4 linked regions of the Diceros bicornis minor genome follow. The protein of the gene in region 2 binds, or shares a complex with, the protein of the main gene of each other region. Links are inferred from orthologs where the notes say so. Each region holds a gene or a part of one and is shown on either strand. Other genes may lie near its edges. The genes, in order: ELAVL4, G3BP1, CAPRIN1 and IGF2BP1.

The links.
Region 1: G3BP1 (region 2) and ELAVL4 share a complex: the UniProt entries of both Homo sapiens proteins name them as parts of the TAU mRNP complex. The link is inferred for Diceros bicornis minor from reciprocal best matches to the Homo sapiens genes G3BP1 and ELAVL4.
Region 3: the proteins of G3BP1 (region 2) and CAPRIN1 are in contact, whole or in part, in a crystal structure (PDB 8TH7), measured with the Homo sapiens proteins. The link is inferred for Diceros bicornis minor from reciprocal best matches to the Homo sapiens genes G3BP1 and CAPRIN1. Residues at the interface, in NP_005745.1 of Homo sapiens: Glu4, Lys5, Pro6, Ser7, Leu10, Val11, Glu14, Phe15, Arg17, Gln18, Thr21, Leu22, Met29, His31, Arg32, Phe33, Tyr34, Gly35, Lys36, Gln58, Lys59, His62, Leu114, Glu117, Asn122, Lys123, Phe124, Tyr125; in NP_005889.3 of Homo sapiens: Met363, Gln365, Met366, Gln367, Gly368, Pro369, Tyr370, Asn371, Phe372, Ile373, Gln374, Asp375, Ser376, Met377, Leu378.
Region 4: G3BP1 (region 2) and IGF2BP1 share a complex: the UniProt entries of both Homo sapiens proteins name them as parts of the TAU mRNP complex. The link is inferred for Diceros bicornis minor from reciprocal best matches to the Homo sapiens genes G3BP1 and IGF2BP1.

What each region holds. Positions count from the first base shown.
Region 1 is NC_080752.1:12,622,362-12,629,683, reverse strand, and holds the start of ELAVL4 (ELAV-like protein 4), read right to left. Parts: upstream 3,001-7,322; 5' UTR 2,805-3,000; coding exon 2,796-2,804; intron 1-2,795. UniProt on the Homo sapiens protein: RNA-binding protein that is involved in the post-transcriptional regulation of mRNAs. Plays a role in the regulation of mRNA stability, alternative splicing and translation.
Region 2 is NC_080740.1:68,626,788-68,634,469, reverse strand, and holds the start of G3BP1 (ras GTPase-activating protein-binding protein 1), read right to left. Parts: upstream 3,014-7,682; 5' UTR 2,908-3,013; intron 2,564-2,907; exon of another isoform or gene 2,273-2,563; intron 1-2,272. UniProt on the Homo sapiens protein: Protein involved in various processes, such as stress granule formation and innate immunity. Plays an essential role in stress granule formation.
Region 3 is NC_080770.1:34,299,827-34,306,879, forward strand, and holds the start of CAPRIN1 (caprin-1), read right to left. Parts: upstream 3,010-7,053; 5' UTR 2,938-3,009; intron 2,516-2,937; coding exon 2,303-2,515; intron 1-2,302. UniProt on the Homo sapiens protein: mRNA-binding protein that acts as a regulator of mRNAs transport, translation and/or stability, and which is involved in neurogenesis, synaptic plasticity in neurons and cell proliferation and migration in multiple cell types.
Region 4 is NC_080757.1:37,072,058-37,079,901, reverse strand, and holds the start of IGF2BP1 (insulin-like growth factor 2 mRNA-binding protein 1), read left to right. Parts: upstream 1-4,843; 5' UTR 4,844-5,183; coding exon 5,184-5,358; intron 5,359-6,538; coding exon 6,539-6,599; intron 6,600-7,844. UniProt on the Homo sapiens protein: RNA-binding factor that recruits target transcripts to cytoplasmic protein-RNA complexes (mRNPs). This transcript 'caging' into mRNPs allows mRNA transport and transient storage.

The sequences.
Region 1 (7,322 bases), on a different chromosome or scaffold from region 2:
CAATTATATTTTATAACCTTTTAATATATTTCAGTATTTTTTATTCTCTCATTTTGGGGCTTAAAATTAGCTACTTGATCATGTATCTAATTTGTCTCTCAGGAAGAAATCGTAACACATCATCGTTTCAGTGGTTTTTACGCTACCTCCTATTCACCTAAGTACTACACCTTTCAGTCCTCCTGGTACCCACCATCATGAGAAAAAGAGACTAGTAAAGCACTCTTAGAGAAAAAGCGAGAGATGCCTGTCACCCAGCGCACACATGGGTCCCAGACGTTCAGAGATACCGAAAAAAAGAATTCAGCTTTTCACTCAGTTTATGCCAAGACCAGAACCAGCACCAAATGCTAAATGGAAGGCGGTGGTCGCAAGGGTGCAGCCTGATAGATCCTGTGGCTGAAGGCATGGAGAGGGAAGCGAAGAAAAAGGCTAGAATACAGCTTTTTATTGATTATTTTTAAAAGTAATTTCTACTCAAGATATAAAATGAGAGCTACAATGAACTCCCTGGAACTGTAGTATCAACATCTGATTTAGTAAAAATACCAATATTACCTAGCACAAAGTCATTGCTTAGGGTAAATCTATTCTACCTATATTTCTCCTATGGATATTTGCTGGAAATTTCTAAGAAGTCATTTGCAGAACCTATCAGCTGTGAGAGTTCACTATTATGCTTCCATCAACTTCATTCAATACAATTTACATTTTTTTCAAATGGCCTCTCAGGATTCCTTGCGATTTTTCGCACGTACAATTTCACAGCAGGGAAAAGGGAGAAAGAGAGAGAGAGAAAGGAAAAAAAAAAGCAAGATTCCCTACCCTCCCTTCCCCCCTCCTTCTCTCTCTCTGTTTTTTAAAACCAAAAAAAAAAAAAAAAAAAAAACAGGGGAGACAGAACAGATGCTTAAAAATAGATTTCTAAAAATCACTGTAAACCAGAGTTAGAAATGTAATTAACACCTATTTATAAAGAATAATTAAAGTTGGGCCGGCCACAAAGAACAGCAAAGATAATCGAGGTCCTGTACCCCCCCCCCCCCCGCTTTTTTTACACTGTTTGCAGTGTGTTCTCATGATAGCCACCTGCTCCCTATTCGGCTTTTCCTCTGTTCGTTTCCCCGGCAACCTTTCATTGGGTTTTCCTCCCAGCTATCGCTTTCAGTTGGGCTGCTCGGTCTAATCTTATTTGTTTTACACCCATCAAAACAAGCAGCCAGACAAAGGCAATCCTCTAAGAATGGGAAAAAGACCACAGCTTTGTTATAACATCTATGCGGAGCGAAAAGTCCTCCCCGGGCTTTTCTAGTGAAAAATAAGTGAGATGGATATGAAATTCCAGCCTCCCCCCATACCCAGCTTTGAAACCCCATGAAAGCTATTGCTGGTGAAATTCAAAGTCAAAGTGGGCACTCGCGGCATCTGATCATGCCATTTTGTGCCATATCTTCAGGGTCAACATCAGGCGACAGGAGCGGCACTCAAGGAGTTTCCCTGCTTCTTTTTTTTCAGAAAGAGATGATGCTAAAAATAGATTTACTACTTTGGCAGAAAGGTTTTCCCCTTCCACATCCAAAAGTCCTGTTTCACAATTACATCTGCTGGTACTGAACCTCACCTCCTCCACCCCTCATTCCCAGCCTTCCCCATCACTCTTAGCAGGAGACGGAAAATGAAATGTGCCTTTAACTTTAACAGTCGTGTAATTCTGTTGAAGGCTCACAGAGGCGGTGGACACGCCAGCTGACAGCGACGGTGACATTGTGATTGTCAAAAAGACACCAACCTTGCTTGGCTAAAATGTGTGTCTATGGAAGAGGCAGTGTGTGTGCCTAGTGTGCATGCAGTGCCATTACACTTGGAGGTGGATTCTGGTTTTCAGAAAAGAGAAATACTAATAAACACACACACAAACGATCTGCACAGTGATTTATGATGCACAGTCCACCATCCTTACACACACACATACACACACACTCAGCTGGAATCTCCAAGCTGCCTTCCTCTTTTCACTTACCATCTTCAAGCCATTCCACTCCATCTGTGATCAGCAGAAGATGGACCCTCACACAGTGTGTCAAAAGCGGAAAGGAACGTTATGTAAAAGCTGACATTCCTCCTTACAGAGCTGCTGCCCAGAGAAGGAAGCAACAACTCAACACGCCAGGCACCGCTACACATACAAGCCGCCTCCTCTTTTTTATGAGGTCATGACAGGAAACTCTTTGAAATACAAGATGCAGCATTTACTGAAGCCCAAATAAATCACTCTCTTTGCCGTTTTGACTGCGCACCCCCGAAACACAACTGCCCATCTCAACGTTCAGTATCCAGGAGCTGCTTCTCGAGGTTTAAATTTCCAGCACGGGAATGGAGAGATTCCTAACCCTGCTGCATCCACCTCGAGCCCCACAAAACCCAGGCACGTAGACAAACCCCCACTCCCTTGCAAAAATAAAACCCTTCTTTTGGCATTATGGTCTCATGTAATATAACCTCTTTCAACAAACCAGCAATTATTTCAGCCCAACTCCCCCTAACCCACCTCCCCCCACTGCCTTTACGTTGAAGGGAAAATTGACAATGACCTCTTAAAAATGACAATCTATTTCCCCACTGCTTTTCAATACAAGGACCTACCCGCACTCTCTACACAAAAGAGATAGTAAAGGTAGGAACCAAACAGCAGCAGAGAACTAAACTCTTGTGCAAGCATAAGACTGGTCAAAGTGTAGATGCTTTTCTTCCCTCCAGCAACACAAACAACAGATTATAAATCTAGTCATACCTACCATAACCATTCTTATTGGCAAATATTGGGTCTCGCAGAGCTTCGACTCTTCTCTTAAAATTTGCAAAGGTTTCAGAATATATTTTTTTAAATGACTACTATTGTTGTATATTTTTAAAGATCCACAACACACAGTGTGGATGATTGTAAATTAAATCAATTATTTGGGGGTGGGGGGGAGATGAGGGGGAGAGAAAGAAAAAAAAAAAAGAAAAGGAGCAGTGAGCCGAAACTCCCGATTCTAGGATGTAGATAAGAACAACTGAACAGAGCCTTGCTGAAATTGGCTCGAAGCTTCCCCTTTTTACATCCATTTATGGGACCATCTGTCAGCTGAAGCCAGGATCTGATTGGCTGGGGAAAAGAAGGGAGGCGTTGCAACATCAGGTGCTATTTAAATTAGCTACTGCCAGATTGACGATGTTAATGATTTGGTGACCTCTACAACAACAGAGACCAGATTTCTGAACTGCTTCTTGTGTCTGGTAATTAAGGCCAGGCTGAAGCAACAACAGCCATACTTGTATTTTTACCTTTTCCCTCCTCCCAGCTCAAAAGTACTGTAACAACTGCAAGTCACTGGTGGCTTGCAAACCTTAACAGTGGGAGTGTCCTCTCTTTCCCCTGTCCTGAGGGCTGCACCACCCTACCCCTCTGACAGAGGGCTTTTCCCATCTAAAATATTTTCAATCATCTTATCTTTCTTGACAGTTGCTTTCTAGCGAAATGCATATTTACTGATCTGCCTCTAGGCTTAAAGATATAACAACAAAAGCACTTCAATGTGCTAATACATCTACATTTTAACTTTATTATTTCCCAATATTGCTGATTTTTAGCAAGTAATGCTCCTTCTGCAGCTCACATGACCAGGTTTCAAACGAAAGCAAGTTTGAGATTGTGCTTGCTCCCTGAACTAGGTTCATACAAGTTTGCTTCAGAAAACTATTTCCTAATAAACAAAAAAGAAAAAAAGCTGGGGGAGGAGGGGGCAGCTGTCAGCCTCTACCTTTCTGCCTTCTGTCTGAGCTTTTCAAAACAGAGAATGATGAATGATTTATTTAAATGAATTTATTTCTCAACTTGGATAGGTGCATGATCTGAATTTTTAAAAATCCACTAAAACACATTCTTTCTTTGCTTTCCCTATTGCTATAGAGAAAGGTAAAAATATGCTTTTGACAACAGACTCATTTCATAACCGGTGCAGAGTGCCCATCTTGTTTTACTGAACACGTGATTTTGCATCTCTCCTTCAAAGGATGTTTTCTTCCTTTGGCCTCTTAAAAGACTTGCAAGGAGACATTTAGCAAGTGTGTGGTGATGTATACAGTTTGTCTGCCTATGTGATACATTTCATAACCTCTGATACCAAGCCTTCAGTTAAGATACTTTTTTTGTTCTGGTTTGAGTTTTAAAGTGGTTTACCTCAGGAGTTTATGCTTTACTTCTACCCAAAAAGTTAACTTATCACTATTTAATTCATAATTTAGTCAATTTGTTCCTCAATAAATATACAGAGGTTAACAAATATTACTGAAGACGTAATTCAACATAATTTTTAATCTTTGGCTGAAGTTGACAGCAAGATGGGACCGAGCAGAGTAGAAATATAGGCCAGAAATCATGCTACACTCTGGGCTTCAAAGTCCAAGAATAAATGGGTCTGTGAAAAATTATTAGAAAAGAAAATAACCTTTACATTTTTAAAAAATAAAACTATTTTTTCTAAACTACTAGTTCATGAACACACATACAAATACATACATATATACACACTTTAAAAAATACAGATACACCACAAATCAATGTGTGTTGGGTACACTATCTAAACTATTAAACTGGAATTTAAATAAATTGAGCTATTGGAAATGAAAATACATAAAATAGGAAAGTAGAAATGTTAAAACTATAATCCCTTCAAGAGGAACAATACTAAATTAAGAAAACTTTAAAATAATTTCTTTAGCAAAATGTATAAAGAGTCCTACGAGTCACAATAGTGCTATAGGATCTGTTGAACTGTGTACTAAGGATGAATTCACAGGTTAAGTGTTGTAAAGAGCTCAACAGATATACACAGGGCAGGTACAGGTGCCCCAAATAGACAAGAGAAACTGAGTGCGATCTCACCAATATCAAAATATTGTGAAAAGTAAACATAAACACAGTGCTGACAAACACACAAATAAAAACAGCCGGCTTAAAACCCCTTTCTCCCACCCATATTAATCTCAGCACACTTAGTGAGCCACAAATTAACATTAGGTATATCAAAAGATATTCTCATCACTTTTCCAAAATAGTAACTGTATATCACAGTATGAATGATTAGCTGGTTTTGCTAGGCTAAAAAAATCCATACACTTTGTGTATTGATCACTTCTCCAAAAACCTCCACTCTAAAGTCTTTCAACAGAATCCTCAAACAAATGCACAAATATCCTCAGAGGCTTTTTCTCTAAAGACAAAGGCAGAATCCTATTGTTGGGAAAAGTCAACCTTATTATTGCATTTCCAATAGTACCATTCATCTTTCAGAGTGAGGGGCTGACCACTATATCAGTGGTGTGACATTTGTAAAGCAACAGATTCTCAACATATTATCTCAAGAATCAGGCAGGCGAGTCTCCCAGTCATGCATGATTTTTTTTTTTCCGGCACAATCCTCCACCACCACAGAAAGAAACTTGTCTCACTCAAGCAGCTAAGGCAACCTAAAAATGATATCCCAGAGCTGTGGGGCTGCCAGAGCGGCTGTATCCCTCTTACCATAAATGAGCAGTTTCTTGACTCATTAATAACAATTTCCCTTAAAAGAAGTAATCTCATATCAGTCAGCCCCTCGCCACCATGCACACATCCCAAAGGTTGCAGATATCTCAGCATCAGTCGCCGGCAGCCAGCTTTCCCACACAGAGTCCAGATGGACTGTACCAGAAGCCAATTCAGCGTTAATAACTACCTACTCCGCGCAGTGGAGAAGCCTTACGTGGCACAATGGGCTAGGAAACAGCAGCCAGCTGAAACTGCAAATAAAAAAGACAACCAAATTCTCCAAAAGCACTGAAAGGAAGGAACAGAAATGGAAACGTGAATTGTATTTCCTTGACTTCCATGAGGAAAATAAAAAGGAAAGAAAGAAAAAAAAAAAAAGAATCCTTCATAAACATAGGGAAAAAAATGAAGGGGGGGGGAAACAGATGCTGCCCAGAAAAAAGTGACAAAATATTACCTCATTATTTAACAAAGCAGCATTAAGCGTCTTGCTGATTTCAAACATCTTGCCACAGATTTTGTTTTAAGAGAAACAGATAGAATCCTTTGCAAAGCACTCCGTCTGCAAAGGGTTCTTCAATTTTCTTGCGCGCCACGCAACAGTCAATATATTATTTCCCTAGAGTTCGCACATTAAAACCTCTAGTCAGTGAGCTGAATTTTCCCCTTATCTCACACACAGTAGACTCCTGTTATATGCACTGCTCTCTTTGCAAGAGCAGCCTGCCCCAAACATGGCTGGTGTTTAAACTACTCTTTAAAGTAACAGTTCACTAGATAACCACCAGGTGGGTAGAGAGCACAGATTCAAATGAACCATCTTAAAAGACTGTTTTTTCCCCCTTGGAATAGCTTTTGGGTGTAGGATGTGACATGAGAAACGCCAGCACCCTAACAGGCATCTTGTCTTGTATCTCTCTCTGTATCTTGTGAAAATAAATAAATAAAACTCCTTCTCTTGACTTATAGAGAGGAAACAAAACAAAACACCATCACCAATTCTAATAAGAACTGTGAAGAATGAAACACAAATAAGCTTTGTTTCATTCAGCAAAGGATGAACAAGGAAAATCCAATCAACACAGAGCAAGAGGGAACACAAAAAACTCCATGGAAATATTTTCCTTCTGCAAAAAGAGAAAAATATTGACTCACGTGATAAAAACCCGATTCAAAAGTATCCATATGGACGAAGCACATACAAGATGGAGGCAAGAGTTTAAGAATGCAACTTTTCTTCTGAGTAAAACATTAGGTTTATTTGATATGGTCTTTCATGATAGGAAATAAGCAAAAGCTTAAAAGTAAAGACACTGAAAAAAAATCTTAAACATCTCTTAAAAACACAATTACACGAACAGTTATAAACAACCACAAGAGCAAACCAATCAGCTCTCCCCTCCCAGTGCTGTTCGTTTTCGCCAAGACCTGCCTTGAAGTGGAACATTTCTGTCGTATACTATTTGGGATGTACAGAAAACTTGGTGTCTCCTTTGTACAATTCTATTCCAATTAATCTGCTCCTCTGCCAGGAATAAATAGAATGTCCCAAGTTGAAAGCCCCAGTGATGGAGGGGGGATGTTAAAAGGATAAAAACCCACCTGGACAAATAAATCTCATCACTTATACTGCTATGGCCTGATTTTAAGGAGGATTTTATTACTTACAGAGCGTGCATGCACCGTTCTACGTTCCCTCGTATCTAAAAGAGAAACCAACACACACTGATACCTGGGATTTTGTTTTCTT
Region 2 (7,682 bases):
GCAGTCTTAAAGCACAATTAAATGGACATACAGTGCATATTTGAATTCCAAAATATTATGTTAAAAAACCAGCGTAATTGCAAAATGTTGGAAGATCAAGTGAGTAATTTTATTAAACTGGCAAAAAGAAAAAATTGGTTTAGGTTACAAACTCAGGCTTTATATTAAATTTCGTCTTTTAACACTGCCCCATCCATCCTCCTAACAAACCTAAAAAAATTTAAAACCAACCTCTGCCCTTCACTTTCTATGCAAAGTACTAAAACAAGTAAAAAAAAAAGTAAATTACAAAAAACTGCTGCAAAGTAGGTCACCAAAAACATTACCAAATCTCCTGATGTTCCCTTAGCAGACTGTCAGCTGAGACCAGCCAACTGAATGTGAGTTAAATAAAGAACAAAGAACTGCCTACTTCTCCACCAGTTAGAAGAGGGATCAAAGCTTAGATTGAAAGCATTTAACAACAAAAGTAACCTCTGACTTGGCTGGGAAGCAGGGAGGCACACAGGTCTTGTATTATCCCAATCTGCTCCAATTCATCTGTTCTTGATAAATGAATGCATAAGAGATCAGTTGGGCTACCAATCTGTGAAATATCACAGTTTTCATATTCCTACTCAACTGATAACCATTTGCCTGAGGCCAAGGACAGTGGTTTTTTTTAATATTTGAAGGGGAAACTAAGAAATGCAATGCAATCCCTCAATGCAAAAGGTAATTTCATTCTCATATATTTTACCTCAAGGAGTTAATAAAATTAGCTGGACTCAAACTTATCATTTTAAATGTAGGTCACTATAGTGTCAACACTTGATAACTTAAAATGCCAATTCAATAGTTAACAGGTGTCTAGACGCAGGTAGCTGGAATTGTTACAGGAAGGCAAGTTCCAAGTACAACAATGTTACACTCTAAAGCAATCTGTTATTTATGGCAACACCAAGAAAGGTAAGCACTTGTCCATACAATATTTCAATCCTTTATCTATTGCTACTTTCTGTTAAGAAACATGGAAAAGTACTGGGTAAATGGAAACACTTACAAATATTAAGCTTCCTCATGGTTTTTAAATTTTCCTACAAGGATGTAAATTATGTGTTCCCTCTGACTGCAAAAAATTCCTTACTCATGAAGACCAATCCTAGAAAGTGTATGTACAAACAAAATAAATTTCTTAAAAAAAACAAAGGTTGAAAGCCATCACAATCAAAATTAACTTAGAAGGCTAGTCCCAAACTTTTATTGCAGTTTTATCTCAAGTAGAGACATTTGTGATGTAATGATTTGGACCTGCAACACACAGGAACATTTATTATTTCACTAACCCAAGGAGTATACATGCTTTTAAAAATCGAAAATATAACTCAACTAGAAAAATATAAATTCTAGTCTCTGAAAGTGTCTTCTACGTTTGCATATATACACAGGAGCCTTACAGTGAACGCTAAATAAAAGAACTGAACGTAGACAGGCTTTCTTTACCCACCGAAGATCGCAACCGCCGTTAAGAGTAAGATTTCCAACACATCTCAGTCATCCGTCACCCAGCATAAGCTCCACAGGGGTCAAATTCATACCGTAACTGGGCACCTTCCTTTCCATCGCAATTTCAAATTAAACCTACAAATGCCGCCGAGATCTGCAACTCATCGTTCTAAACCTCATTTTCTTCAACTATAAAACAAGGAAGTTAAACTATCTTCTCGAAGGTCTTTCTCAAAACTCTGCTCCGACTACATGTAAGAAGAAAGATTCAAGGTTAATATCAGAGCCTAACTTCCTGCTGGCGGGAATTTCCCATCATGGTAATATGAGTTTCAAATCCGACGAGAAACACTGTCCATGTTCATTTGCACTGATTCATCTTATTCCATACTTTTTCCAGAAGCTTTTAGGGCGGCACATCCATCAGCTCTTTGTACGAGCCCACGAAGGAAGGAAGCCCACATCCTTTCTTTTCCTTTGTCAGAATCCCACTTCCCACCCTCGTCTCCCTGGAAGCCCACGACGGGCTCAAGCACAAACGCCGCTGCAGAGCTCGCAGCAGGCGGCCTGTCGAGGCTGATGCTGTCCCCAGGGCGCTCTGGGGGCAAAGGTGCCCTGGAGCCGCACAGGGCGCCGGAACAAAGAACAAAACAGGCTCGGGGACCAGGAGTCGGATGGCCGGGGTTCAAACGAATACCTGCCCCTTGCCGCCCGTGTGCCTCTGACCGTGTCACTCCCCTCGGGGCCTCGGGCTCCGCCGCAAAATGAGGAAAATCATCGCACCTACCTCATCGGGTCGTCGTGGGAGTGACTGAGAGGCACGCAAGTTGCGGAGCCCAGCGCCGGGCACGCAGCGAGGGCTGAGAGGGAATACTAGATATTACCATCACACAGGATCCCTGCACGCGCTGCTCCCCCTTCACTCCCTGTAAAACCCAGGAGCACCACTTCTGCTTCCCAGGTCAAAAAAACCTATCGCACTCGCGCGTCGCCCCTGATCCTCAATAAAGGCCTCCTCCGGTCCAGGCCAAGCTGGAGCCCCTCGCCCGGGGAGGAAGGACTCGGCAGGCGCGTAGGGGCCGGGCGGGAAAAGCAGGCGAGCCGACCACGCGGGGCCCAGGCCCCCGAGATCGCCCTGCGGCCGGGGCGGCGGCCGCGGCTCGCTCTCGCCCCGCGTGGCCGTTGGGAGCGGCACGCGCACGCGGCGGACGTGGACACGGCCACGCGCGCCGGCCGGCTGGGGCGGGGGAGCCGGAGCCTCCGCGCGCCCGTGCGCCCGCCGCGCGCGCCTGCGGCCGTTGAGGGGTGGGGGCGGGGGCGCGCGGCCGCCGCGAGCGTCGCTCGGACTTCTCCTCCCTCTCACCCCCGCCGGACCTCGTCCTCGTCCCCCCGCCGCCCGGCCCCGCCCACACCCCGGCGTACCTGCGCGGCTGAGCGGGAGAGGAACAAGCTTTGCTCCACAGCACAGCGGAAGGCAAAAACCCCTCAAGCAACTGCGTCCGCACACACGCGTGCTCCGTCGCCGGTGTATTATAAGCGCGACTCAGCCTAACTTGTTGCGGCCAGGTCGGCCAGGCTGGTGACCAATCCCGACTGCGTCCTCTGGGCTCTTCGAGCGGCAATTGGGTATTGACTCAGGATGAAGGCGTGGCTCTTGATTGGCTTTGACGCATGCCTATGAGACTGTGAGGATCTCGTTTCCCTAGTAACGGATTGGCACTGAGAGAGACCAATTACCTAAACGTATGGTGGAAAGGAGGGTGGGAAGTTCTTTGACCGATACTCAAGGCAGCCAATAAATGCGTGGAGCCGCTCCCATTCGTTAAATCGTCTTCCCCTGGGCGGAGAACCGTTTTCCAGGCAGGAGCGGTTGCTCCACAAGGTGGGGCCCGTGTACTTTGGGGAAGTAAACCCCAAGCAACAAGGAGGTGGGCTCCAGGGAGGCCCAGGAAGCCCCCAGCCAATCGCAACGCAAGAAGGAGCTGATTGACACGGGGGTTGGACAGCACCAAGGAGACCAAGCCCCAGGGCCGCCGTGCCCTCTGGGGCGGCTCTGAGCCTCTCCTGGCCCGGGCTTCCGTCCGCTTTCCTTTCTTTCCCTCACTTGTTGGGTCGGGCTTCTGAGCCCCCTCTCCCCCCTTTTCCGCACAGTTTGGTACCAGGGAAACCAAGTAGTAAAGTTTCCCGTTTTTTTTTTTTTTTTCTTTTTATAACAACTTTTTTATTTCCATGCGGCCGCCTAAGGGCACTTGCTGGCTCTCACCATTAGTCAGCACTATTGTTGGACAACTGTAAGGGAGAGCCGAAGGAGAAAGGAGCTCCCGTTGTGGACCTAAGGGCCTGTAAACAGGTCGCACGTGAAAACTGCTGGGGAGTTTGACAACACGCGTTTTTACCCTGCTGTTCTTGGCAAGCGCAGCGGCAGGTCGGCCCGGTGGTCGGCTGGCGGGTGTTCAGCTGAGGTTTTCCCTTTTTGTTGCTGCCGAGGAAGGTGGTTTGTAGCTTCTCCGATCAGCTCGGGCCTTAATGCAACATCCTGTGCGTCACCCACCACCATTGTCATTCAGTTTTCTAATGCTGTGAGTGTGCGGGCTTATTTTCAGGTCGTTCCGTCTTTAAACTCCTGTATGGACGCCCCGAAGATTGCCCGGAACAGTTCAGGGGCTAAGCGGCACACCAGCCTGGTCTCCTGCGCTCCTCTGAGTGTTTTGTCGGGCCCTCTGTTGGTCACCATAAGCATTTTACATGGAAATACATCGACACGCCTCGGTGCGTTCTCATTCCAGGAATGTGACCCTGTGGGAGGATCTCCCGTTAAGTTTGGCAGAGAAATTTGGAAAAGAAGCACGTGGATCGTCTCCGTGGGGGGAGGAGGGGCGCAGCAGCGGCCAGGTGGGGCTCCGGGGTGTCCCGGTTTGCCTCCCTGCGCGGGGCCTGGCCCCAGACTGCAGACTCCGGGCGGCCCCAGGAGCGAAGTGAGAGCGCCCCTCCGGCCCCCCAGACCCCACTCCCGCATCGGCCGCACTCGTTCAGCATTTATTGAGCTCCAAGGGCTGAGGTCAGAGATGATCGAGACGCTGTCCCTTCTTGCTGTCACCCATTCAACAGACGGGGCGCTGCTCTGGGCCAGGAGCTCCCAAACCCGGGAACAGGCGCCTATGAGAGCACAGGAAGGGAACTCAGCCCAGAGAACCTGCTCAAGGTTTTCTGGGCTAAGGAACCTCCAGGATCGTGTTAGCCCTGCTAAGGAATTTGGACTTTATTCTGAGGGCAGTGGAGAGCCCCTAAAAGGTTTCTTAAAGGGTGGACTAAGAAATTTGCGTTTTACAAAATGACTTTCCGAACTGATGCTAATGAGAGCAGATCCAGAAACTTTAAATTCACAGATTGGTAATTTAACGCAGGTGGCCTGTGATGGGGGTCAAGGCTGTTCTTAATCACATTTGGAGGGCATTTTAAACTCTTTTTGTAAGGCTATTTGGCAGTCTCTGTTAAAATTGTGTATATCCCACTTCTTGGTTGATAGCTACATTTTTTAAAGGCATGTAATGAAGTGTTCACTACAGCATTGTCAGCTGTGTTAGAATATTTAAAAACTGAAAACATAATTGCTTACCAATTTGCAAACTGATTAACTGACGATATGCACATAATGTAGAATACTATGCAGCAGTTTAAAAAGGAATGAGGTAGGGGCCGGCCCTGTGGCTTAGTGTTTAAGTGTGCATGCTCCACTAGCGGCCCAGGTTCGGATCCCGGGCGTGCACCGGCGCACCCCTTGTCCCACATACAGCAACTAGAAGGATGTACAACTATGACATACAACTATCTACTGGGGCTTTGGGAGAAAAAAGGGAAAAAAAAGAGGAGGATTGGCAATAGATGTTAGCTCAGGGTTGGACTTCCTCAGCAAAAAGAGGAGGATTGGCATGGATGTTAGCTCAGGGCTGATCTTCCTCACAAAAAAAAAAAAAAGAAGAATGAGGTAGAACTATACAGATATGCACCCATCTCCAATTGTTTAAAAAAAATCAAGTTCAACAAAACATACAGTGAATTCCCATTTATGTTAAAAACAAAACAAAAAACAAAACAACTGGTTTCTGTATGTTAAAGCAGGTATGTAAGTGCATAGGAAGAGTTCTAAATTTAAAACGATAGTCATTCCCCCTAGGGAAACCTCTAAATTGGGAGCGATGAGGATCAAGTATTATTTGCAAGTTTTACAATGAGACTGTGGTCATGTACTGTGTTGTATGATAGGAGGTAAGAAGGAAGGAAGGAAGGAAAGGGGAAAAGATTACTAGAGGGAGAATGTGGACAAGCCCCCTCATGTGGTAGCTGCTGTTTTCCACAGGAGAGAGCAAGTTGGCATCCTCCTGTGGTAGTTTCCCCCCAACTCAGATGACAAACCCTCAGGCCCCAGCTGCTGGATACTTAGTAAATTTTCAGTGGGTAATTTACCACCATTGAATTGCCTGGAGCACTGGTTCTCAAGGTGGGGGAGGTGGGGGAGATTTTGCCCCCAGGAGACATATGGTCTTGTCTCAATTAGGTAGAGGGGCTACTGGAATCTAGTGGGTGGAGGCCAGGGATGCACAGGAGAACCACCCCCAACAAAGGATTATCTGGCCAAAAAGTCCATAGTGCCGGGGCTGAGACATGCTGGTCTGGTCACCTTAGTCATCTAAGGGAGAGTCCCTGGCCTCCTACTAGTCTTTCCAATGCCAAGCAAAATCTGCAAACCCCTCCCGTACACTGCTTCACCCTTCTCTTTCTGCCACTTCTCCTCAAAGCTCTGAGAAGCAGGTGGGAAGAAGCATGGGCAAGGCCCCAGAATACACAGTTTTGTAGTGAGAGTGAAAGGGTGGTGGAAAATACTAGGTAAGGGATGATCCTGAGAATATCATCTAGATCAGTGTTTCCCAAACATAGCTAATCTTTCATGAAGAGTGATTCAAAATATGTGCCTGTATGTATCTTTAACTGTTAAACTCCCATCTATGAACAAAGACCTCGTATAATAATATTCATTGCGGCACTACTTCTAAGTAGAAAGAGACAGGAAACAACCCGAATGTCAAGCTATGTGAGACTGGATAGATACAATACGGTGCACGCTTACTGTCATGCAACCACAGAGAAAATGAGGCAGATCTGTGTGTATGGTTACAGAGGGATCTCCAAGAGACATCAATAAACGAAGAAAGTAAAGTGCAGAATAATGGGAAGAGTAAAAAGGGGGGAGAGGCGCCATGAGGCAATTATTTCTATTAAGATATACTGTATTGCTATAGTTATCTCTTCACATTCCTGCTTGGTTTTGCTCTACATGCACAGGTTATATCTGGAAGGAGTCACAAGAAAGCGTTAATGATTGCTAACGGGGAGGTGAACTTGGGCCAGGGTAGGAGAAAGGCTTAGTTTCCAGTCATTCCAAGTACCCTTTGGTACTGTATAATTTTTTTCTAACATGTGCATGTATTATTTTTCCAAAGAAATTCAATGTTAAATATAGATTTTAATAGTGATATGAGGAACTACAAATATGAAAATTTTGATCTTTAAAACAAACAAGATGAAGTCCTACATTACCCCTTTAGGTGTGTGAGGAGTTTGCAAGATGAAGCATCAAAGTTTTAATCTGCCTCCCTCCCAGACTGCTAACCTCTTTACTTTTGCTCCTTATCATACAAAAATCATACAAAGATCCAAAGAGACCCTTTACTGGCTTAGAAACGCATGCCTATTGGATTCCTCACTCCTTTCGCTGCAAACTCTCTGCAAACACATCACCTCCTCAAACTCTGTGCACTGCTGACCACGAGCCAGGCACCTTGCTGGTGTTCTCTACAAAGATGATCTCCTGTTATGTTCACAACCACCCTATTTCCCATTTCTCAGAAAGAAGCTCAGAGATGTTAAGCAGCTTGCCCAAAGTTGCACAGCTAGGGCTGGAAGCTAGACTGTCTGACTTCAAGTCCATACTCTTTTACCCAAGGAAGAAGGATAGATAGTCCCAAGTAGGGGAAAGGGGCATGGCTCCTCAGAAACCCCTAAGAAGCTGGGATTTTCTTTCTTGCTTTCAGGCGTGCCACCAGGTAATGCTGCATAGACAGCTTTCCAGGTGGTTTGAGAGGTTTGGAATCCACGGGAAATCCTGGTAACCTGCAGCCAAAGATGTTTGCAAAAGGCTC
Region 3 (7,053 bases), on a different chromosome or scaffold from region 2:
AAAGGTTCAAAACTGACTTGTAAGTAAATCCTATTTTAGATGTATTAGAAATGCTCATTCACTACTGAAAAATGAATCAGTTAAATCTTTTCATACAGTAAATTATCCAGCTATAAAGAAAATTTCAATTTAAACTAGAAGCCAGATGTGCTTAGAGAAAAATTCAAACGCCCTTGAGTTTCTCAAAACATAGTTTGTTTTAATAGTAATTAAGTCACAACATCAGTACTGGCAACATAACTATTTAACGAGTATGTAGCTCAGTCTGTGAGTTATCAAAAAGCCTCAAGTAACTGTAATTTGACCTTTCCACTTTACTATCTAGCACCCAAAACACCGACAGAAAAGATGATATGAAATACATTTGTTATTTTGTAAAATGTCCATCATTACAAGGGAATTTTTCAGTACTTACTAGCCTAGTCTATAATCTCTGTAATAATAATTACATTACTTTCTCCTTTATAATGATGGGGGGGCGGGGGATGGACACAACTAGGCAACGTACAGCAGTACAAACCTATAGACAGGAGAGACCCATCATGGTTCAGGCCCTCAAGGGACTTATAAACTAGATTTCTATTCTTTTCAAATACACTTGAACACTAGAATCTAATAATCACCTCACAACTAAGCTGGCTGCTACTCAGTGCCTGACTTTATATTAATGCCTTTGAAAGAAATACTTTTCAGTGATTAAAATATAAATATGTATACTAAAATGACTCTGTGTAAAATATATCATTAATTAATTAATTACATCTTCTGATTCCCATCCTCGAAGAAAACAGATTCCTAGGAATTCTGAAAATTAAACCATTCAGGCATCAGCCAGATTGACAGGATTGTTTACTGCATTAAGAGGTTTTAAAGATACCTAAGCCTCAATTTCAAATAGAGTGGCAAAAACTAAAACAGATGGCAGACACAGAACCAGAAGATACTAGCCTTGGGGCATGTTTATTCTGTTACATACTTGAATATAGCTACTTTATAATTAAAATACTTTTGTTGCTTGGTCGATGTTGATAAATCTATAACTTCAATCATTTATAATAAACCACACTTGTTCTTCAAAATAAAAGATAAGCAAAAAGTAGAAACCCACGATTAGTGCATCTCTCAATTTCAAAAAGTCCAAGAAATTCAAATAAAATTCCCAATACAGAAGGAGACAGAGAAGTAACAAATCTAAAAATGTTTATGATTTTAAACTCCCCCAAAATGTAAAATAAATCATTAAACAAACAATTAAGATAATTAAGGCCTAAATGTCATCAGTTTTCGTCAAGTTATTTCCCACAGTCGAAATTTCAGCCTAACAGTTACTATCTCAACGTTTTAAGTACCACTATTAGGTGGCTGGCTAAACACTGTAAACATTTTTAAATGATTTCCTCAAAATTAAAGATGCTATGCTGGTGATTTGTTTTTTCCTTTCCACCCCAATCTTACTGAAGGCTGAATTATTCCCTCTGCCGAGACCCTTTCCCCATACGTGCACACACGCGCACACGCACACACGTGTCCCCCTACACAGAGTCGGTACCCTGTGCTGCGCGGAGAGCACACAACAAAAGGCCGACTTGCAGACAGACCCCCCGGTGCGACCTGGAAGGGCCAGATACTGAACGGCAAGATTGCGGGCGTGGTCGGCTTCGGAGGGGCGCTGCCCGGCCTGCCCTCCCCCGCTTTCGCTTTGTGCTCACAATGCGGCTCCGCGAGCTTCCCTCTCCCCGCCGCCGCCATGTTAGCCGCGCTCCATGTGCCCGGGCCGGCGCCCCTCCGTCCCCGCACCGCCGCACCTCCCCAGTCGTCCCCGTCGCCCCCCGGCCCTCTCCAGAGTCCCGGGGACAAAAGGCCGCTGCAGACACGCTTCTCGGGGCCGGGCCGAGCGCGCGGCTCGGGGGCACCTAGACAATTGGAACAAAGAGGAACACGCAGGGGCGCCCCTCGGATGGGGGCGGGGAGCAGATCGAAGACGCCCCAAAAGGGCCCGATGGGGGAAGCGGCTCTGGTTTGGGACCCTGAACACGTCCGCCCGTCTCCCAAGAGAGAGGAGCGGGCAGGCCTCGAGCGCACGGGAGCGGCGCGGTCAGCCCGGCTCCACGAGGCAGCGCCGAGCCCGAGCCCGCGGCCCCCTGCCGCCCCGGCCCCGCACAGCCCACTCCCCGACCCGAAGGCCGCCCCGGCAGGAGGAGGAACGGAGGCCCGGGCAGCGCCGCGGCCGGGCAGCTGACAGCGCCGCCCCGGGGCCCGCTTTCCGGGGACGGGAGAGCCGCCCGGCCCACCCCTCCCGCACCTTCTTCTTCTCCAGGTTCCGCAGCTTCTTGTCGATCACGCCGAGGATCTGCTTCATGGCCTCCGTCTGCACGGCGCCCGTGCCGCTCGCGGGGTGCTGGGCGGCCGGCGCCGTGGCCCCGGCCCCCGCCGCCGCCTCGCTGCCGGAGGAGCCCGCCGGGGGCGGCCCGGACGACCTGCTGCCGCTGCCGCTGTGGCTGGTGGCCGAGGGCATCTTCAGACGGCGAGGGAGACGAGAAAGAGCGGGAGGAAGGACGAGAGGCCGGTCAGGCGGCGGACGGGGCGAGACGCGGGACAAAACGCGCGGCGGAGGGCGGCTGCGCGCTGGGGGCGGGGACGGCGCCGCGGGGGCAGGAAGGGACGCGGCCGCGCGCCCCCGCCCGGCCACCCCCCGGCACCGGGACCCGCGCGGGGCGGGGCCTCGCCGCCGGCCGCCAACGGCCAGCGCAACGGTCCCCCGGCGGGGCCGACGCTCGCCGCCGTCCGGGGAGGGACGCAGGGGCGGCGGGGGAGGGGCGCGGCGGGGGAGGGGCACTGGGCTGACGGGGGCAGGGAGACGTGAGGGGCGAGCCCCCGCCGGGAAGGGACCCGGCGGCGGCCCCCGCCCCGCGGGCGCCTCGGCCGGCCGGCGCTCACCGTGCGCGCGCGGAGGCCGCTGGCGGTCCCGAGGGGGCGGGCGTGGCGCTGCGTTCCGGGCAGTGTCGCGCGCTCCGTGGGCGCAGGCCGCGTCGCGCTGTGCCCGCTGCACCGAGAGCCCCTGCCAGTGAGGCGCAGAGTCGAGCGGGAGGGAGCTCGCCGCCAGCCTCGGCGCGGAGGGCGGGGAGCGCAGGGGCCCTCGCGGGCGCGGGCTGCCCGGCGCGAACGCCTGCGGGGAGGCGCGGCGCGGCCCGGCCCGGCCCGGCCCGGCTGCCCCTGCCCGGCCGCCGCCCCGGCCCGGGCCCTGCCGCGGGGGGCCCCGGGGAGGCTGCAGGAGTGGGGTCTGGAGCTGTGAGCGGAATCGAAGTGAGGGTCCTTCAGGCGAAGTCGCTTGACGTCCAAACGGGGACAATAGGTGTCAAGCGGCTGGCTGTGGAGCTGGCGGCTGCCCCGAGAAGGGTCCTTACGTGGTGGGGGCGGGGGTGGGGGCAAAGGTCCCCGCCGGTGAGTGGTGCGCGAGGCGCTGGTGCGAACCCCGCTTCTAGAATGCCTTCTGGCTGCGGTCAGGTGGCCTCCCGCCCTGCACAGGGGCCGGTGCAGAGCGCCCGCTCGCCGCTTCCCCGCGGACACTCACCTGGGAGCTCCCTGTCGAACGCCTTGGAAGGAGCAAGATAGGTGGCATTTTGAAAGTCTTAAACCTCCCGACTCGTGTTAAAAGTAATCTTCAGCTACCGTAAGATGACATTTATCCAAGAGGCCTGAGGATTACGGATTAGGGTTTTCTTTCCTTTTGTTTTAGATTTTCCTAAAACTTTTAAGAGAATGTTGAATAAAATACAAAAGAAAATTTCTTTTGCTCCAAGAGAATTATTCGAGCCTTATAATTAACCTAGGGGCGGGGTGGGTGTGGACAGAAAATGAACCAAGTGCTGGAAGGAAATGTATTAAAGGGAGTCGTTAGCGGAAAACTCAGCGGCATAATGTTGTATGACAACAGTAAATGAGGGATTTACAATTGAAACTCCGTGAAAAGGGGATTTCGAAAAGGATGATACTAAACCCGCTGTTCCTTGGGGAAGAAAATGAGTAATACTGGTTGGCAGCAGTGTACCCTGAGGGAGCCTGGAGAAACAGCAGCGGTCTCCGGCCTCAGGACAGTCCGGTTAGCTGCAAAGTCGGTTATCGATTCATTCGAAGATTCCTTGAGCCCCTTACTATGTCTTAGGAGCTCTTTAGTGCCAGGGACTGTGAACAAAACAAACACCTCTGTCTTCATAAAGCTCACATTCTAAGTGGGGAGAAGATAAGTAGGTACGTGTCAGATAGTCAAGTGGTAGAGAGAACAGACGGGGTGGTCAGGAAAAGGCTTACTGAGGACATGTAAGCCGAGACTGACGGAAGTGAGAAGACCAAGCAGGTATCTTGGAGGGAGAATTTTCCAGGTGGAAGGAACACCAGGTGCGAGGAACTGAGATGGGAGTGCGCTTGGTGGGTTTAAGGAACATCGAGGAGGCCGCAGAGGCTAGAGCAAAGAATAGGAGCTGAGGTCAGAGACGTGAAAGGGGGCTGGCCTTGTAAGGCCTGGTAGGTGGCTGTAGGGCCTTGGGCTTCTGCTGAGTGAAATGGGCAGTCACAGCGTGCATAGCTTTAGCAGAGGAGTCACATGATCAACCTGTGTTAAAGAAAGCCTCTTGCTGCAATGTAGAGAATTTACTGTAGTGTGTGTTAGAGATGAGAGGAAGGGTGGAGAAGAGCAGGAGCTGGGGCCCAGTTAGGAGGCTGTTGAAATAATGCAGCCCAGAGATGGTGGTGGCCAAGGTCAGGGTGTTCACAGCAAAGGTGGGGACAGGTGGTTGGTTGCTTTACACATTATGGTAGTAGAACCAACAGGATTTGCTTAGCAGTTGTGTGTTAGGTGAGTGAGAAGTCAAAGCTGACCTAAGATTATTCAAGATGGAAGCACCTGAACTGTGTTTAGTGCTGCGCTAGACACTCTGCTAAGCCTAGAGGCTAGAAAGGAGGATTAGAATCCTTTAATTCCTTGCAGGTCTTAGTGTACTCAGCCTGACTACTGTCACTTTCAGAATCTCAGGCCCCACCCCAGACCTACTGCATTTTAACAAGAGCCTCAGCTGATTTGTATGCACGTTGAAGTTTGAACAACAATCTCTGCTTTATTCCTTAGAACTTGACCAATGTGCTTAAGACCAGACATGAAATACTCTACTAAGCAAATTTTCCCCAGACCTGCAGAATCAGAAACTCCGGGGGTGGGGCCCAGCAATCTGTGTTTTAACACGTCCTCCAGGTGATTCTGATGCACGCTGAAGTATGAGAACCAATGACTTGGAGACCTCTTATAATTAAAGTTTGAGCTGAAGAGGGCTTGTGATAAGGTGTGAGAAGGAGAGGCCTCTTCTGCCTTTCCTTGACTCGTTACACAGTAGCAGTTACCAAAGCATAAAGCTAAGTTAGGCTTTTCTTCAAGGAAAAAAGAAAGATTATTGAGGGAACGTGGTAGCTGACAACACGGATGACAAAGATCCTCAGTCGGAAGTCCGTCTCACAGCCCACAGTGTGTCAAGACACGCTAGGTTATGTTGCAGTAACAGTCCTGAGAGCGCTGTGACTTCAAACAGGGATCTGCAGACCAGAGTCTCGGGGCTGAGTAGCCCTCCATCTGTTTTTGTAAATCAAGTTTTGGGGACACAGCCGTATCCATTAATGTACGTATTTTCCATGGCCGCTTTCGTGCCACAGCAGAGCAGAGTTGAGTAGTTGTGACAGAGATGGTATAGTGTGAAAAACCTAAAATACTATTACACACTTTACAGAAGAGGTTTGCCAATCCCTGGCTTAAAACAACAAATGATACACATCCATCCATCTGAGGGCTCTGCTCAGAGTAGTCACTAAGTAGATTCAGGCTGATGGAGAAACCATATCTCAAGTGTTGATGATTACCATAAGGAAAGAGAACTGGGGAGTATCTCAAGTAGTCGATTAAATACTTCAAACAGGTAGAATTGCATCATGTGCACTCACACCTCATTGGCCGGAAAGAGTCACATGATCCCAGCCAACCAAGAGATGCTGTCCTATCAGATGCCTAGTAGGAAGCTAGGTGAACCGGAAACATTTGGTGAACATACATAGCTGTTGGGCTCTCACTTCCTACAATATGTCATCCCATCTGGTTTCCTTGGTGTTCTGACGTTCTTGCAGTTGTGTGATCAGGTCAGCAAGACCAGGAAGACTAATCAGTTTAAGGCAAAGTAGTGTCTTTAGTCTGACTTTCTGCCCAGCCCAATGCCATGGTCCCAGCAAACCAAATTTGTCTATTTCCTGTCTGACAAAAAGGGGACTGAAGCTATGTTTATGTGAATTTTTTAATACTTTACTGTAATCATTTTTTTTTTTACCTTTTTTCATAATCCAAACCCATGCAGTAGCTTCAGGTCATTGTATCACTGAAGAAATAGGAAAATTAAAGGGTTTTCCTACAAAACCAATAGGAGAGCAGAGTACATCTATAAATGAAAAACACTTTCTCCAAAAACCTTGGTTTTAAAGTTATCCCCAATGTTAACGTGTTGTTTTTTTTTGGGGGGGGGGAGGAGAGGAAGATCAGCCCTGAGCTAACATCCGTGCTAATCCTCCTCTTTTTGCTGAGGAGGACTGGCTCTGAGCTAACATCTATTGCCAATCCTCCTCCTTTTTTTTTTCCCCCAAAGCCCCAGTAGATAGTTGTATGTCATAGTCGCACATCCTTCTAGTTGCTGTACATGGGACGTGGCCTCAGCATGGCCGGAGAAGCGGTGCGTCGGTGCGCGTCTGTATCCGAACCCGGGCCGCCAGTAGTGGAGCGCAAGCGCTTAACCGCTAAGCCAGGGGTCTGGCCCCTTAACGTGTTTTAATAACACAGATCTCCCAAGCTGACGTTTGCTTGTTTAACTCATTAGACCACAGCACTCTAAGTCTCCACAGTCAAGTGAGTGAGTAATTGAACTTCTTATCCTGATCATGTTGGCAAAAGAGTTCAGCTGCTTCAACTTGAATCACCCAATAAGCTAACATTGAGTATATTTGTAGCTAAAGAGGGGACCTTGCATCTGA
Region 4 (7,844 bases), on a different chromosome or scaffold from region 2:
AGTAGTTTCATCACACACACACTGTTTGACCCCTAGAAAAACAAATGATTGTTCTTAAAGTTGCTTTTTTCTCCTTGAGTCTCTTCTATCTCTGAAATAAACACATTTCTTTTTAATGTTTTAAACACTGAAGACTTTTAAAGAAGAATCTGGAGGAGGAAAATTTTTCTTTTCTGCTTACCATTCTTTTACATTTTATGAGTTATCTCAAACACATAATTAATTATCCTTATTTATTTGACAGGAGAAAATGCTGCATGTGCTTTTAAATTGGGACTCATTTACACTTTTTCAAAGTTTATGGGCATTTAGAAGAACCACACTAAGACTTCAAGTTGCAGGAAGAAACAAAATATCCCCAGGCAATAACAATGAAATAACAAGCAAACAACAGCAACAAAACAAATCAAAACAAAGCAAACAAAAAACAAATTCCTCCAAAAACTTTGAAATCAAAGCAGCCATTTGTCATGAAATGTGAATTTTTCTTCTTCTCTATTTTATAGAAACCATAATTTTATTTCAAAATTGATTATGGGTCATTAGAAAATAAAAAAAGGGACAAATTCTATTTTAATGCCTTTCTCTCCTGCTTTCCATTTTTTTGTGACTTCTCTTTTGTAAAACATGCTAAACTTTTAAAATAGAAAGTCATTGATAAATGTTAAATTTAAAATGCAATATATATTCTGGGGATATATTCAAATGAGCTAATCTAAAAGAGGAAAAAGTTACATGCCCCAGAAACATCTATTCAGCACCACTTACAAAAGTAAAAGAATTTGATGTAACTTACATATCTAAAAATAATGATTAATGATTAAGATTAACTTACATCTACTGGACTAAATGGTACGTGTTGACTAAAAATGATAATTATGAAAACTTTGAGGCAGCATGGGAAAATGCTTATGGTACAACACAAGTGAAAAATTAAGATATAAAAATAAGGTGACAAAATATAAAACTATTCCAAATGAACAAATACTGGAAGAAATATTTAAAAATAAAATTAATTTTATATGACAATGGTGGAATTGTTGATTTTTTCACTTTATATCTCCAACTTTTTAAAGTGTTGTTTTATTCTCTTAATTTTTTTTTCCTCTCTGCATGTATTTGCAGGTTCACATTGAAGGAAAATGGATCTGAATCCCATCTTTAAAATGGAGTCAAGTTTCAGTGTTTCTGAATTCAGAGAACTGAATTCTAGAACTAGACCAAATACTTCTTCAGGAAAAATGAAGAAGGAGGAAGAGAAGACCAAGAAGTATAACAACATCAACAATAATAAAATTATTATTATTAAATAAATTATTAAAGAAAATAATTTATCCTGCAGCTATATTTTTAACTCTCACAACTAAATATAATTCTGCATTGAAGATTAATCTTTCCCCGAAAAGCTGTGTGGAAAAAAACCTGAAAACAAATACCATGTTTATTAGTAGTCTTTAATATAAAAAAAAAAAAGAAAAGAATGATGATAAATTATGGCATCCCAACTTGGCCCATGCTTGTCCCTCACCTAGGAATGTGAGTCTTGACAAGAAAGAACCCTTCTCTCAGGTTAATTTTAGTGCTGAGCTCACTCAGAGGGGAGAGATGAAGCACCAGTCAACAGGATTCAGTCCCCCCAACCCCAGCCTAAAATAGCCAGGTCACTGAGGCAAAACTGATTTGGGGGCTAAAAGAGTCTGCATCTCACCCCAGCTGTCTCCAAGCTCTTGTGTTCTTGCAGCCTCTGACTACACACAGAAGCCCTTGGTGGGGTGTGTGTGTGTGTGTGTGTGGGGATTAGAATTCAGTGAAACAGCTGATTTTTAAAAAGAACAAATCAGTTACGATTTAGCAATAGTTGGTAAATTTTTAATTTAATACATTTATATTTTCTCCTCTACTGTCATTTAAAAACATTTAAACTGACTCATTTCAGCTAATATCTAGACTTCTATTATATTTTTTAAGTGGAAAAAAATCAACCTAAAAGTGAACTGAATTCAATTATTATTTTTAAATTTTTTGTTTCCCTTTGAATCTAGGATAAGAAAAGGTGGGCTGCACTTTACAGGCATTTAGAGGTCTGTGTTGAGGTTTTTGTGGGGTGTAACTTGCTTTTGTTTTAGGAATAAAGAGATAGAGTAGTGGATATGTTCCCCAGGCAGAAAAGCTGAGAGGTGCTTCTATTAATTCCTAAAGATTTAAACTAAATAAGGAAACAGCTCTTAAAGTTTCTGGGAACTGAAAAGTCCTGCCTAGTACCCACTTCTTTGTCCCCCAATCGAACAGACGAGATTTAAGGAGATTGGGGCTCCTCTTTACGAAAAGGCCAAAGAACACAACAGCCTTTCTGAGACCATCTTTTAGCCCTTTCAAAAGTCCACACACATCACCAAGAAAAGTCCCCGGGAAACAGACCTACACATTCTGGCCAAGATAATTTTTTTTTCTTCTGAACTCTTAATTTTCCTGTGCATTTTCTTTGCTCTGCAGTTTGTATTAGCTTGTTTTTCATTTAAAAAAATGTTTATTGAATGCCTACTATGTGGTGGGCACCGTTTCCAGCTCGTTGGTTTGTTTTAAAATTGTTTATGGTCAAGAGTTGACTAAATATTAACAGTCAGAAACAGTGGGAGGGTGGGAGGAGGTGTGGGGGCTGGGGTACAGATGTCGCCCACCCCAACATTCTTTTTCTACTCAGCAACTAATAGCTTATAGTATTTTAATTTCTGTCGCCCTATGGAAAGAAAAAAATCACAAAAACAAAAATCCGACAAACACGTGGCTGGCTAGAACAAAACGCGGATTTGGAGGGTGGGTTTTGAAGGTGGTGGAGATGGAGAAACCGAGTTGGAAGCCTTCCCCCGCCCCCACGCTCAAGCCCCGTTTCTTTTCAGCGCGCGGGGACAACCGGGAGGGGGACAAAGGTGCGGCGTGCTGTCTTTTAACTCCCGACTTTTTGAACGGAATGAAATCGTCTGGCAGAAGAGTGGTGCGCCCAAGTCGGAGTCAGCTCACTGACTCTGCACACAAAATAATAACAAGAAAAAAACCCAAGGCATTCATATCGGTGCAGCCAACACGTGTTGCGGAGTCGGCCCGGGCCGCAGGCGACTGAGACAATGGGGTCGGGGACCGGGAAAGGGAGAGTGACCCCCTTCCTCACCTGCCCTCGCAGCACGCGTGTCCCCGAACGAATGATTTCTCCCTCCTGCAGAACCCGGAGCAAACCCCGAGCTTCCGCCCAGTTCAGGGAGACTCTGGCATTACTGGAGGTCCACCTCCCTCTTTCCCCGGTTCCCTGGCCAAGGGGGCTCCAGGGGCCCCGGGCCGCGCTCTCTGCCACCCCTTGGTGCCGTCCCAGCCCCCGCCGCTAGAAACTCGTTGGCCTCGCTCGCCACTCGGGCCGGGGTCCCGGTTGCGCGTGGACCGCGCGTCCCGCTCTCCGCCGTGTATCCGGGACTCCGAAACGCGCCGCCAACTGCCCCCTCCCCCACCGCAGAGACGGGGGTGCGACCGCCCACGTGTCGCCCCTTGCCCAGTCGGGTCCGTCCCTCGGGCTCCGGGGGCCGGAGGATCCGGAACGAGTTGGTCAAAGGCGAGGGAAGGGACCAGGGCGGATCCGCTTCCCCCTCCCCAGCAACGGGGAGGGGGGAGGGGCCGCCGCCCCCTCCTCCAAGCTCCCGCCCCTCGCTTCCCCGAGCGCCGAGCGGAAATTACCCCCTCCCTCCGCGGGTCTGACCTGGGGACGTGGGCGGGGCCTCGCGCTCAGCCCCCTGCCCGCTGCCCCTCTCCCGCCTTCCCGCCGGGATCCAAATCCTGCACCCCAAACAAAGTTCCCGGACCCGAACCCAGTGCTGGGAAAGCGGCTGTCGCTGTCCGGATTGGAGCGGGCGGAGGGGACTCCACCTGTCTGCCCCCGCGTCCGGGAGGGAGAAGGGACCGTGCGGATCTCCACCCGGTCACTCCCTCCCCGAGACCTCCCCCTTCGGTTCGCCCGGGTCTGCTCGCGCTACCCCTCCTCTCCTTCTCTCCACCCCGCCCTCTCTCCCGGGGTCATCTTGGGCCGGAGCCGTGCGTTCCCCCAGGACCCCGAGACGTTGTCGTTCAACAGCCGAACCCCGGCTGTGAGCCACCCTTTCTCCGGTGGGAATCCCGAAACATGATTTCCTGTGGATTCCTCGTTCCCAATCGCGACCCCCCGTGTCCCCAGCTTCCCGGTCCCGCGCTCGCAGGGCCCCTCGGTCCTGGATTCCCGGAGGCGAGGGAGTCTCCTAGGGCTGGGGCCGGGCAGGCCCAGAGCCCCCACTTAAAAATCTAGGGAAAAACCGCCTTTCTTTTTAAATCACCGGCTCGCGGGACCCCCTCCTGAAGACCCCAGAGTCCTCGGCTTCTCTTTGTCTCTCTCGGCCGTCCCCCGCCTGTCAGTCGCTAGCACTTAATCGGGGTAGGGTGGGCAAACTCCCCCACCCCCGGAGCACACGAATAAAAAAATCACCGTACATTTTACCCATAAAGAGGTGGGAGATTCTGGGCCCGACAACCCTCCCCCAGCTAGGGCCGGGGTAGGGGGATGGGTGGGGGGGGTGGGGCGCCTCCCTAGGGACCATATTCTTGCAAAAGGGGAGGGGACAAGTAAAGCTTCGGGAACGCAGCCCCCCCTCCCCACCCCGCCCAGTTTATCCGGGGGCGAGTGTCCCCCCTAGGCGGGAGATTGGTGGGCTGGGCCTGGCTGGAGGGTCGATGGGCCCTGAGGCGTCGGGGGTCTTCCCCTGCAGGGTGGGTGGGGGCTTTCACCACGTGGCTTCGCCTTTTTTTTTTTTTTCCGCTCCATTTTTTTTCAAGTCGATTTTATTTAGAGGCGGCGCCAGGGCGGCCACGGAGAAACGTGACACACCAGCCCGCTCGGAGGAGTTTCGGACAGAAGAGAAGGAGCAGCGCCGCGTCGTCCGCCTCCCAGCGCGCCGCGGGCACTTCTCCCGGGCCTCGCCGAACTCTCCCGCGACCTCTGCGCGCCCTCGGGCCGCCCTCCCCGCCGGGCTCCGGACAACTTCAGGGGTGGGGTGCAAAGAAAGTTTGCGGCTGCTGCCGCCGGCCTCCCGCCTCTCGGCCTAGGAGGCTCGCCGCCCGCACCCGCTCGCTCGGCCTTGCCAGGGACCGCGTCCTGCCCAGAGCCCGCCACCATGAACAAGCTTTACATCGGCAACCTCAACGAGAGCGTGACCCCCGCGGACTTGGAGAAAGTGTTTGCGGAGCATAAGATCTCCTACAGCGGCCAGTTCTTGGTCAAATCCGGCTATGCCTTCGTGGACTGCCCCGACGAGCACTGGGCGATGAAGGCCATCGAAACTTTCTCGGGTAAGGGCACACCCACCTCCCGGAGAAAACCACAACGAAATCCCTGAACAACGGAGACCTGCGCCGCCTCTTTCCGTGCCCGCCACCTCCTCTCTCCCCGCGGCCTGCGGGGCTCGGCCTCGGTACCCACCCTCCACCCAGCTCCTTCGACGCCCCCTCCACCCCCCACTCCCCTCTCGCGCGGAAATATTCGAGATTTCCTCACCCCTTCCTCCCAACCCGAGACGAGCAGCTGGAGCCTTTAGTAAGGTGGCCCCCTTACCCCCCACCGACGGGGCGGGAGCCCCCACTGGCAGTGGGGGGTCGCCAGCAAGGCGACCCCGTCAGGGCGTTATTTCCACGTCAGCCCCTCCCTATCCGCGGCTGGAGGCCCCTCCCGCCCCCAGCGTGAACACCCCCAGCTCCCCTTCCTCCGCCTTAGGCCTTTCCAGGCGGGGCAGGGGTCCCCGCTCAGTTTCCGATCTCCCGGCTTTGCGTGGGGACTGCAGCCTTCAAGCAGGACCCGCGGGGAAAGGGGTCCCGCCTCCCGCCCAGGGCCTGGGGCTTGAGCCATTTTGATTTGAAAGTGGGGCGTGAGCGGGGTGGCGCGGCCGCGGCGGCGCCGGGTCGCCATGCTGCTTCCCGAGACGCCGAGGCTGGGCCGAGAGGCGCGCGCCGCCGCCACCGCCGGGGACCCTCCCTGCGGGGCCCCGCTTCGCTCCCCCAGGGCCTCTGCTCCCGACCAGTCCCGACAGGTGACCGTCCCGCCGCCCAAAGCCCTTCTCCCTGGCTGGACCGAAAAATAAAGTTTCATTCTGCACCCCCCTCCCCCCTGCAACACACTTTGGGAGAAACGAGAGCCCTTTCTCTCTCGGCCCCGTCTTCCCACATCTGGGAGCCGGATAGGCAGCCCGCGCACACAGACGCCCGCGCACCTCTCCCAGATCGGGCTCCCAGAACGACCTACTACTCAGCCAGCCTCGATGAGATAATAGAACAAAACAAAAATTAAGAAAACACAATGAATTTATAGATTCCACCATTACCAGAGCGACCTTTTCCCACCCGGCTGCGAAACTCACTGCCTGATTCCTACAAATCCAAGTAACTCCTGAATTACCCTAATGCCTTTCTCTTTCCTTTTTCCGCCCCCCAGCCCTGTTCAAGCTCTCATATTGTCTCTCCTTTTTTTAATCCTTAGGCAAAGTGGAACTCCAAGGAAAACGCCTAGAGATTGAACACTCGGTCCCCAAAAAACAAAGGTAGGAAAGAGCTCTTTTCTGGGGAGGGGGGCAGCCTGGGGGAGCCGAGAAGCTGTGTTCAGGGGTCCATAGTGTCTCCAGTGGAAGAAACCCATTACTGGCCTTCCCACCCCCAACTCCGGATGTTGGGGGCAGGGAGGGAAGATTGGCTAAGATCTTGTAATGAGTGGTTTACAGCTTGTAAAAAACGTAAGCTGGGGCTAGGGTGGGCTAAGAGATGTTATTTGGAGAAATAAAAGGGAAAAAATAGGGGAGAAACCTTGAGGAGTTTGGTCAAGGGGTGTGGGGCCATTTTTGTGGGGAAGCTAAAAAGATTTGAAGAGCTCAGACTCATGGACATTTCTGCAACTTCCTAGCAGGCCTCATTTTCTCTATTTTTTCCCACCCTTCACTCACCATAATTCTTAAGTGGATTGGTGGGGGTCTCCTTTCACTCCCCAGGGGAAGTGGAATGAGTTCTGCCCCTAAAAGAATTTTCTTAGACTTGTGCTTTATTTATATTTCTGCAACAGGCATGGACATTACTTTTTTACAGACCCCTACCCCTAGTCCCTCACATGCACATCCTCCCCTCCCAACTGGATTTTGCAAATATGCTTTGGCTGTACTATCCTTTCCGAGGCCCCCCCCCCCCCACTCCTTCAGTCCATTGTTACAGGGGGACCATCTGGGGTGAGAGCTTTGTGTTCAGGCTGTGAGCTGGGGCTCTTTGGAGGGTCTAGAACTCCCTGCATGAATGGGTGTGTGTGTGAGAGAGACAGACAGAGACAGAGACAGAGAAAGAGTGTGTTCCAATACCTTTCTATCCTCACTTCAGCAAACTGGGGTACCTCTATCATGTTATCCCCAAATCCAATTCATGGTGGATTTCAAATCTTTCATTGAACTCTGGCTGGGAAGTATAAGGGCCGAGTCTTTCTGCTTTCTCAAATCTGACTTTAAACATGTTGACAGTGCAGAGTTTTCTCTCATGTTGCAAACCCCAGTAAATCTTTGATCCTTTCACTCCCCCCTCCTCTCATTTCAACTGGAAACTTGCTGAATTTCAGAATAGGACCTGGCCTTTTCAGGGTGGGAAGGTGGAGGTGGGTGGCTATGCATTTTTGGAGGTGGCTAAGGGTCTAGAAAGTTTACTGTGAGGTAAAAATCTGTTCAGTGGTTTAGCTTGAGATATTGAAGTAACTTGGAACTATTGTATCTATAGATGATCAATATGGCTTGTAACTATGTTTATAGAGCTTGTGA